Linked DNA regions of Saccharomyces cerevisiae S288C. The protein of the gene in region 1 purifies or fractionates together with the protein of each later gene. This does not show direct contact. Each region holds a gene or a part of one and is shown on either strand. Other genes may lie near its edges.

Region 1 (4,308 bases):
GTGTCTGACGCAATTCTTCAACAAAGGGAGACGACCGTTCTGAGGCGTTAAAATACGACAGCGACTTGTCCACTGCAGACAGTTGTACCAGTAAAGTAAAGAAATGCATGCCATTGACTTCCTCCCATAGATCAAATCCGGAAGAATTCCAGTGGTCAATAATGAACCTCAGGTCCCAACGTACAATATCATCAAAGATATCTGCGGTGGACTGGAATGGGTACTTGGCCCCCAGATCAGTGCCAGATTGCTTGATGTAGTCGATGATTTTTAAGATGGCAATGCTTCGAAGAGCAGGCCCATCGTTTTGAGGACGACCCCAATCTTCCGTGAAAGCCGTGTTGTCGACGTTCCACTTAGGGTCTCCCAAAGCCACTGTATCGTTAGTGTAACCAATGCCAGCGCCCAATGTGTTGTTGCTTCTTTGCAAGTGGAATGAAACGTTCAGGTACTGCAATAACGTCTCTATTGCCGGGCCCGCAGAATGAGAGACAATACTGTTTATCGTCAACGCGCTGTCCCTTATCCATTGGTAGAAGTAGTCTGGATGCGTTTGCGATGGTGACGCAATCACGACCCCAGGCGAAATAGACGGATACACGGCGCTGGGCCCAATATTTTCAAATATTTTTTCGATGGAAACTTTTTTCTGTCCCTGGAGCCATTCCTCCAGCGCACTACTGTCCCAAGCGCCGTTTGAATCGTATACCACTGTCCCATTCATCAAGACTGCATCCCGCAGCTGCACTTGCGAAGGGCCGTTGTTTGAAAATACACCGCCGTAGCTTTGATCGAGAATGCCCTTGCCAAAGTCAAATTCGTATATAGTAATGTTCTCGAGCGCCCAAGCAAACCCGAATCCTACGCTGAGCATGCCGAGTAATTTGTTATAAAACATCTTTTGTCTTGCCATTTTGCTGCTGTTACTTATTTGAAATCTTGCTCTAGTCCACGATTATCACTATATTGTAAATGTACGATTTCTTGTGTAACAGAACAGATAACGGATCCAGAGCCAAGAGATGAGAAAAAATACGAAATGCGCAGGAGGAAACAGGGAACCAAAAAAGGACCCTTGCTTCTGTGCCTGAGTCCCCTAATTTGTGACTCCACACATGCAGGCAAGTTAAAAGCACCTTGTACGAGTGCTATGAATGGGTGTTACTCTGGCCCGATTTCCCTGACTTTCCTTATTCACCCTCACCCCTAATACCCGTTTCCGCGGATAATGTTCTATGCTTCGAAGCGCCCCCCTTGCGCTGGGCCTCGAACCGCATCCATTGAACAACAGCTTGGCCTTCCCTGTATTCTACCACATCCATTGCTATTGCCCCTCTCCCCTTCTCCTCTCTCTTCTTCTCCACTATACTGTGCTTTTCAGCCCATTCGGCGCGCGAAATCACAAGCTGTATATATACATTTACATATACATATATATATATATATATATGTGCATAAATGTATGTACATATATGAATGCCGGGCCGCGTGGCGTCTGTAGCTTGTGCGTGTACGTGTGTACACACTTCAACATATATATACATACATATATATATCTATTATTCGTGTACTAGTGTTTTAACTTGCTCGTTCTCGGTACGCATCCAGTTCTTCTCCCCACACAACGGCAAGCTCAAAATACCTTATCATAGACACCTTCTCCAACATGAAATATCCCGCTTTTAGCATTAACAGTGACACGGTACACTTAACGGACAACCCCCTGGACGACTATCAGCGTCTCTACCTCGTCAGCGTACTGGATAGGGACTCGCCGCCGGCCAGTTTCAGCGCCGGACTCAATATTAGAAAGGTTAACTATAAATCCTCCATTGCTGCGCAGTTCACACATCCAAACTTCATTATCAGTGCTCGGGACGCAGGGAACGGGGAAGAGGCGGCGGCGCAGAACGTTCTGAACTGCTTCGAGTACCAGTTTCCCAACCTACAAACAATTCAGAGCCTAGTCCACGAACAAACGTTGCTATCGCAGCTCGCTAGCTCCGCCACTCCTCACTCCGCCTTGCATCTGCACGATAAAAATATTCTGATGGGTAAGATCATACTACCTTCCCGGTCTAACAAAACACCAGTCTCAGCATCACCCACCAAGCAAGAAAAGAAGGCTCTGTCAACAGCATCGCGTGAAAATGCCACCTCCTCGCTGACAAAGAATCAGCAGTTCAAGTTGACCAAAATGGACCATAATCTGATCAATGACAAGCTCATCAACCCTAACAACTGCGTAATATGGTCGCATGACTCCGGCTATGTGTTCATGACGGGCATCTGGCGGCTGTATCAGGATGTTATGAAGGGGCTTATAAACTTGCCCAGAGGTGACAGCGTTTCCACTAGCCAACAGCAGTTCTTTTGCAAGGCTGAATTCGAGAAAATTCTATCTTTTTGCTTTTACAATCACAGTTCGTTCACTTCTGAGGAATCTTCAAGCGTACTGTTGTCGTCCTCCACCTCTTCGCCGCCAAAGAGACGGACATCCACAGGGTCTACCTTCTTGGACGCCAATGCGTCTTCTTCATCTACTTCTTCAACGCAGGCAAACAATTACATCGATTTTCATTGGAACAACATCAAGCCCGAACTGCGGGACCTTATTTGCCAGTCTTACAAAGACTTCCTGATCAATGAACTTGGTCCTGACCAAATAGACTTGCCCAACTTAAATCCGGCAAATTTTACGAAAAGAATAAGAGGTGGTTACATCAAAATTCAGGGTACTTGGTTGCCGATGGAAATCTCAAGGTTGCTATGCCTGCGGTTTTGTTTTCCGATCAGATACTTTCTGGTGCCTATTTTTGGTCCAGATTTCCCCAAAGATTGCGAATCGTGGTATTTGGCTCATCAAAACGTTACATTTGCTAGTTCTACCACTGGTGCAGGTGCTGCTACTGCTGCTACTGCTGCTGCTAATACAAGTACCAATTTTACGTCTACTGCAGTGGCAAGACCTAGGCAGAAGCCCAGACCCAGGCCAAGACAAAGATCTACTTCCATGTCCCATTCCAAAGCGCAGAAACTTGTTATTGAGGACGCCTTGCCCTCATTCGACTCATTTGTAGAAAACTTGGGCCTTTCCTCAAATGACAAGAACTTCATTAAAAAAAACAGCAAAAGGCAAAAGTCGTCCACATACACCTCTCAAACTTCTTCTCCAATAGGGCCAAGAGATCCAACGGTGCAAATTTTGTCAAACCTAGCATCCTTCTACAACACCCACGGTCACCGGTATTCATATCCGGGAAATATCTATATACCACAGCAAAGATACTCTTTACCCCCACCAAACCAGCTCTCGTCGCCACAGCGGCAGCTAAACTATACTTACGACCACATTCACCCAGTTCCTTCTCAGTACCAGTCTCCAAGACACTACAACGTCCCCTCTTCACCAATCGCGCCTGCTCCTCCCACTTTCCCTCAACCTTATGGTGATGATCACTATCATTTTTTGAAATATGCTAGCGAAGTTTATAAGCAACAAAACCAACGACCAGCTCATAATACAAATACCAATATGGACACCTCTTTTTCGCCAAGGGCGAACAATTCACTGAACAATTTCAAATTTAAAACAAACTCAAAACAATAAAAATGTCATCTGTTACATTTTTGGTAATATTCTTTTATAATGGTTCTTTAATTTTTTTACATAATTTACATATTATTTCAAAGTTTTTCAAAAATATCCGTACTATATGTTTTTCCAGACAAAACATAAAACATACAATGATCTTTTTGAAGAGAGAATTAGTACACTCATTACAAGGTGTATGACGTGCCGAAGAAAAAAATTGCTTCCAATCGGATTTGAACCGATGATCTCCACATTACTAGTGTGGCGCCTTACCAACTTGGCCATAGAAGCTCGTACTTGTTGGTTCAGTACTCTTCATCAAGCTATACTATTTATCTAGGATGACGGTCACAGTGATTCGTACTCGACTGCTTCTATAATCTGTAGGTGGCTTGCGCATATCCTGAATTATCGTAATTAAAGAACCAAGTTAGATGCTAAAGGTGGAAAAGTTCAAAAAATTGAAGCGATTCGAGGTCTATTATTGTTTAAAAAATTCTTTTCTGGAAGAAGTAGATATCGAGATGAAATATTCCTGCAGTATAACAACTATAATGAGCAATGGTTCAGCAAGCTTGTTGATGAACTGGGAAGAATTAACACCTGGTCACTGTTTTACCTCTTACACAACTAACCCTATCGCAGGTGACTATGGTTTGAATGCATCAGCAATAGACGGCCACACGGAAGAGTTAGTGGCGACCCACCCAGCG
Region 2 (5,740 bases), on another chromosome or scaffold:
GCATGGCTCTCATACGTACAAAAAGTATCCACTCGTGCAATACAGTGATTTGAAACCATTGTGAAAAAGTACGTGGTAGCTTCAAATCCTCGTAAAAGTATTTAGCAGTTTCTGATAATGGCTCGTCCTCGTATTGTAAACCTTGCTCTTTACAAATTTTATAATAGTAAGATCCTGCAACGGGCCCTGCCCTCACTCTATCCATATCTAAATGAAATGCTCGAATTACTAGTTCACCCAAGGCTTCTTTCCATTTGGGAAGTTCGTACTTTGACGATTCATATTTACTATGAGCTAGAGGAATTTTATTCTGAGCAGTTTTCACTGGTGCTTTATTGCTTACATCTAGTGGTTTCGAATTCAGATGTGAGCTTTTTGCTAAAAGCTCTGGCGAATCTTGTGCAGTTTCTTTATTTTGCTTGAAAACACATGTTTGATGCAAATAAGCTCTCGAGTAGTAAAAAGGGGACTTTCTAAGGAAAACAGGGAGTCGACCTGAAGTAAATCTATTGACTGACATCATCAAGTGTTGGAATAGCTGAAGAGATTGTTACGGAGATCATAGTGTTTGCTAAATATTAATCTTACTAATGCGTCAGTCGAGGACCAATTTTGACGTTGTTTTCCTTGCTGGCTATAAATTCAGAAGAACGCCGGGTAAAGCCTAAATACAACTCCAGTCAGACGCCCTGAAATGGGCCAATTTATATACGAGGAATAATGAATGGTGAAGATTAAATAGTAAAAGATATTTCTAATATCTTTCTAAGGCGTATACAGGAAGAGTGATTTGAACTGCAGAGTTGTTTCTAGTTGCGTTCTTCATCCTCTCGTCGTCTTGAAATAAGTTGACATTCAATCTCCTCTAATATACCCTGCACATCAAGATGTGCAGCTTTATCTACTCGTTGAGAACTTATCCCATAGCCTGAAACATGACTAATATGCTTATACCTCTGATGATTTAAAAGCTTCGTAAGAATATCCTCTTGCCTTTTTCTTTTCGTTTCAACTATAAATTCGAGGTCTATCGTCCTCAATTGTTCGAAATGAAAATTCAAAGGATAAATCAAATTTTGTTGCTTTTTGAGAAGTGCTCTTTCACATTCTCCAAGGTGAGCTACGTCTTTTAAAATCGCTTCCAAAACGAGATCATTCTTTGTCCTTGATAGTTTTTTGGAAATTTTCTCCATGTTGGAAAAATGTTGGCCGTTGGATGTACAAGTTGTCTCAATTCTTTTCAGTTCAGGAAACGTGAACTCGTTATTTTTCAAAAGTTTGTGATTTTTTTTGAAGGTTTCATCACATTCAATACGCCTTTTAATTTTGAACTGTTGCTTGTATGATACTTCAATACGGTCCATTTTGGATGTCAAAGCTTTCTTCAATTGTCCCTCATTTTCTCTTAAATCATCCAACCTATCTACTAACATATGTATATCTTCTATATCGTTGAAGAAAGCCCATTGATGATGAGAGAGTAGGAGCTTTTCTGGAGTTTCTGATATAATTTTTTTGTCTATGAATGCCGGAATAGTTGGCCTCATTAAGATACCGTTTGAATTAATTATCATGAAATTCTCACCTTGAGCAATTTGATAGTAAGACCCGTCTGTCGACCTAAATATTGAAAAGACTTCTTTTGTCGCGTAGGCAGTACCTTTTGCTTTAGCTAACAACTCCCATTTTTTCAAAGATTCGACGTCGACATCTAAGCAAAAGTTTATATCCGCTTCAGAGGGTCCTTGAACCCACAAAAAACAGCAGTTGTAAAGTTCCTCATTTTTTTCACTGATGGCTGATGACGATCCATTTGAGTCCATCCAATAATATCGATTTCCATTTCTATCTTTACCCAAAATCTCTAGTCTCTTGATATCGCTCTGAATCAATTTTGCCTCTAGGAAGGCGATATCTTCCATTAAGTATGCAATTTTCACTTTAAGGGCATTGACCTTACCTTTACATTCATCTGATCCATATCGGTTCATTGAAACGTTGCTGTGAAGCTTCACGCGATTTTTGGTTAACGTTTTTAGTTGCCGTTTCAATTTGATATACTCTTTTTTTGCACTATCCAACTTTAAGCGGATTCCATTGCACAGTTTTGGTACTTTATCTACCAACTCCTTAATATAACTCGAGAAATTGGACGCAAAATCTACGAGAACCCATAAAACATCAATTTTATCTTTTATAGATAATCTCTTGCGAAAGTTATCCCAGAGCTCATCACCTAAATTTACAAAATTCATGGATAAAGGTAGTATTTTTTTTGTGATACATTTTGCGACATCACTATATGCTATCATATGTGTATTCTGTTGCAAGATTCCAAGGAGACAGATCAACCAATTGCCGTTGCTAAAGTTTTTATTGTGCAAAAGTTTAACCCAGCTAGTATCTCCATAGTTCAAACACTTTTCTATAGCTATATCAATTTCTGTTTTATTTCCTTCCTCCTTTCGCTTTTCTTCAGTCCAATTGTCCATCAGATTACAATTCCAATCAGGTTCATTATCCGTCATCAGACACATTAACGAGCAAACTATATCAATGTAAAGTATATTCACTTTTTCGTACGATTGAAACTCCATATCGTCATTTTTTAGAGGCTTCCCTTTAAAAATGGAATACATTACAAATTCAGTACTTTTATCCGTTATAAATTTCCTCATTTTCTGGTTTCTGGTGAAATTGCTAGGTATTCGTTGACTCTCATCTGCATTAAAGACGTTAGCCTTCTCACGCTGGGATACGTTACTACTGGTCACTTGATTATATATTTCGTTTCTTGGCTTCTCATTTGTGAAACTCCCTTTGCTGTTGTAAGTTTTAAGAAAGTTTATTTTGACATATTCATCTACTAAAGCCTCCGGACTAGTACACTTGATAGTAGTAAGGAACTGATCAAAATTAAAATGTGATAGACCAATAAAACGTCCAAAAAAGCTCAGGAATTGATAAACAACCAATAGTCGTTCCGTTGGAAATTGACTGCACTCTTTGAACCATTTTTGATCGATATTCTTATATTCTAAGGAGCTATCTAAGTAGCTGATATTTTCAAATGGTATCGAAGGCCCAGTGAATGGAAGCTCCTTGTCGTCGACGGTTCCCTTCAAATCATTGTAGGCAAGGGAGTTCACATTATCGTAAATGTGGTCAAATGAGACTGAAATCTCGTCGTCAATTGCTTTTATTTTAGATAGTGACGTTTCCGACGTTTCCGACGTTTCCGACGTTTCCTTCCAGTCAGCAGGTTCAACATCGCTCTCTGGTGGTATAGTAAGAGGAGTGTAAAGCTCGGAAGAAGATGAGTTCATTCTATCCGGCAAATAATCAATCATATTAGGAGAGCATTTAGGGTTTACATCATATCTTTCTATATATTCTTGTTTCACCCTCCATGGTGCGTGCTCCTTATTCGATACTTTTATGAGTATTTCATTAAGAAAACACGCAATTATGAATTTAGAAAAGTGTGATTCTGGCCTTTTAATTTCATTCTGGCCTACAATTAGGGCCGCACCTTTAGATTCTCGATTCAGGCATTCTGTGATTAAATACAGTGACAATTTTGGGGCAGAAATTTCTCCCTTTTCACTTTCCATCATCCCGTTAGATTGAAACACATCCTTGACAAGGAACAACGTGACATTGTTTTCAATAGTTGGTGATTCTACCAAGTTAGGCTCTCCTTCTTTATAGGTAATCAATGCATTTTTTTGGATAGTTTTCAAGCACACCGTATCGCCTATAAAGAAACGGTTACTAAAACGCTGAAATGCGCTTTCTACAAGGTGTCCTACCTTCCTTATCGGACTGAAGTTTGCGAAATTTGCTATAGCCTTCCTTAGTTCTTTTGGTAAAAGATATCTGACCTTTTCACGGTGCTGTTCTTCGCTTTTTAACGCCTTGAAATACGAAAGGCCATCTTTTCCACTAATCTCACAGGTGAATATATCCCTTTTGTAAAAATCTAGCTTTTTTAAATCACTGTCATAATCATTTATACGCTCGCTACTTTCTTTAATCACCCATGGAGTTTCAGAGAAGGAATCAGCAGACTGTCCTATTTCCTTAGGTTGTATTTTCCTTCTGTTAAGCAGAACCATTTTTGCTTTGAATTTAAAGTACGGCTAGAAGAAGAGCCAAACTAGGGATTGCGATTTTTACTGAATGAAAATGATTGTCTCTCTTACTAAGTCTGCTAACATTTATCAGGTTCATAATGTTTACTATTGAAGTGGCGCGTTACAAGAAAACAAGTCATCCCATATTGAAATGACAACAAATAGAAAAATACACATAATTCCATATCGCTAAATCACACTATCATATACAAAATGGACCAAAGTAAACAAATGTCGATTCATGCAAGTATTGTTACATATCTTGTCACTTTCTCTTCCAAAAGTTGAGGATAGCTGTAAAGGTGCATTTGCTAAACTCTCAGAAACTGCTGGTCCTAAACAATATCAAAACAAATATCAGATAGGTAAGCTTAGATTATTTTAAGGACATGTGAGCCATAGTGCAGATACTCGTACTACTGTTGTAAATATTTCTGTAATTTCAAAGTTGAGATTATCTAGATGAAGTTTTTTTTTTGTTATCGCCTAAGTTTAATGTCCGTACAAATGAAAAATTTTCAAGGCGATGAGCTGAAGTGAAGCTTCAAAATTAAGGAAAGTATTTGCGCTGTTAAGGTAAAAATATCACATAATAGTAGCCTTTAATCAGCCATCTGAGTTATCTGAAACGATGGAGCAGTCTAATAAACAGCACCGTAAGGCGAAGGAGAAGAATACAGCAAAAAAGAAGCTCCATACGCAGGGTCATAATGCAAAGGCCTTTGCCGTGGCAGCCCCAGGTAAGATGGCGAGAACTATGCAAAGGTCAAGTGATGTGAACGAAAGAAAACTGCATGTTCCTATGGTTGATCGTACCCCTGAAGATGATCCGCCTCCATTTATCGTCGCTGTCGTGGGTCCACCTGGAACAGGAAAGACTACTTTGATTCGGTCCCTCGTCAGGAGAATGACAAAAAGCACTTTGAATGATATTCAAGGTCCTATTACTGTTGTCTCTGGTAAACATAGAAGACTAACTTTTTTGGAGTGCCCTGCGGACGATCTGAATGCGATGATTGATATTGCTAAGATTGCCGACTTGGTTCTTTTACTAATTGACGGTAATTTCGGTTTTGAAATGGAAACAATGGAATTCTTAAATATTGCTCAACATCACGGTATGCCAAGAGTACTTGGTGTAGCTACACATCTTGATCTGTTTAAATCTCAGTCAACTTTGAGAGCTTCTAAGAAAAGATTAAAGCACAGATTCTGGACGGAAGTTTATCAAGGTGCAAAATTATTTTACCTATCTGGTGTGATTAATGGAAGGTATCCTGATAGAGAGATTTTAAACCTTTCACGATTTATATCTGTTATGAAATTCAGACCATTAAAATGGAGGAACGAACATCCCTATATGTTGGCTGACAGATTCACAGATTTAACTCATCCGGAATTAATAGAGACTCAAGGACTGCAAATCGACCGCAAAGTCGCTATCTATGGTTATTTGCACGGTACTCCTTTGCCTTCTGCTCCGGGCACTAGGGTGCATATTGCTGGTGTTGGTGATTTCTCAGTAGCACAAATTGAAAAATTACCAGATCCATGTCCCACACCTTTTTACCAACAGAAACTGGATGATTTTGAACGTGAAAAAA

What was found.
Region 2: the proteins of XBP1 (region 1) and YPL216W purify together in Saccharomyces cerevisiae (affinity purification with mass spectrometry, with the first as the bait; one large-scale study listed by BioGRID). This does not show direct contact.

Annotation. Positions count from the first base shown.
Region 1 is NC_001141.2:174,609-178,916, reverse strand, and holds XBP1 (Xbp1p), read left to right. Parts: upstream 1-1,666; coding exon 1,667-3,610; downstream 3,611-4,308. Other genes in the region: SGA1 (glucan 1,4-alpha-glucosidase), read right to left, coding at 1-913; YIL102C (uncharacterized protein), read left to right, coding at 4,030-4,308. UniProt on the Saccharomyces cerevisiae protein: Transcriptional repressor which binds to the consensus sequence 5'-GCCTCGA[G/A]G[C/A]-3'. Represses CLN1 transcription.
Region 2 is NC_001148.4:142,199-147,938, reverse strand, and holds YPL216W (uncharacterized protein), read right to left. Parts: upstream 4,119-5,740; coding exon 810-4,118; downstream 1-809. Other genes in the region: CBP3 (Cbp3p), read right to left, coding at 1-523; GTPase BMS1, read left to right, coding at 4,768-5,740. UniProt on the Saccharomyces cerevisiae protein: May be required for the activity of an ISWI chromatin-remodeling complex.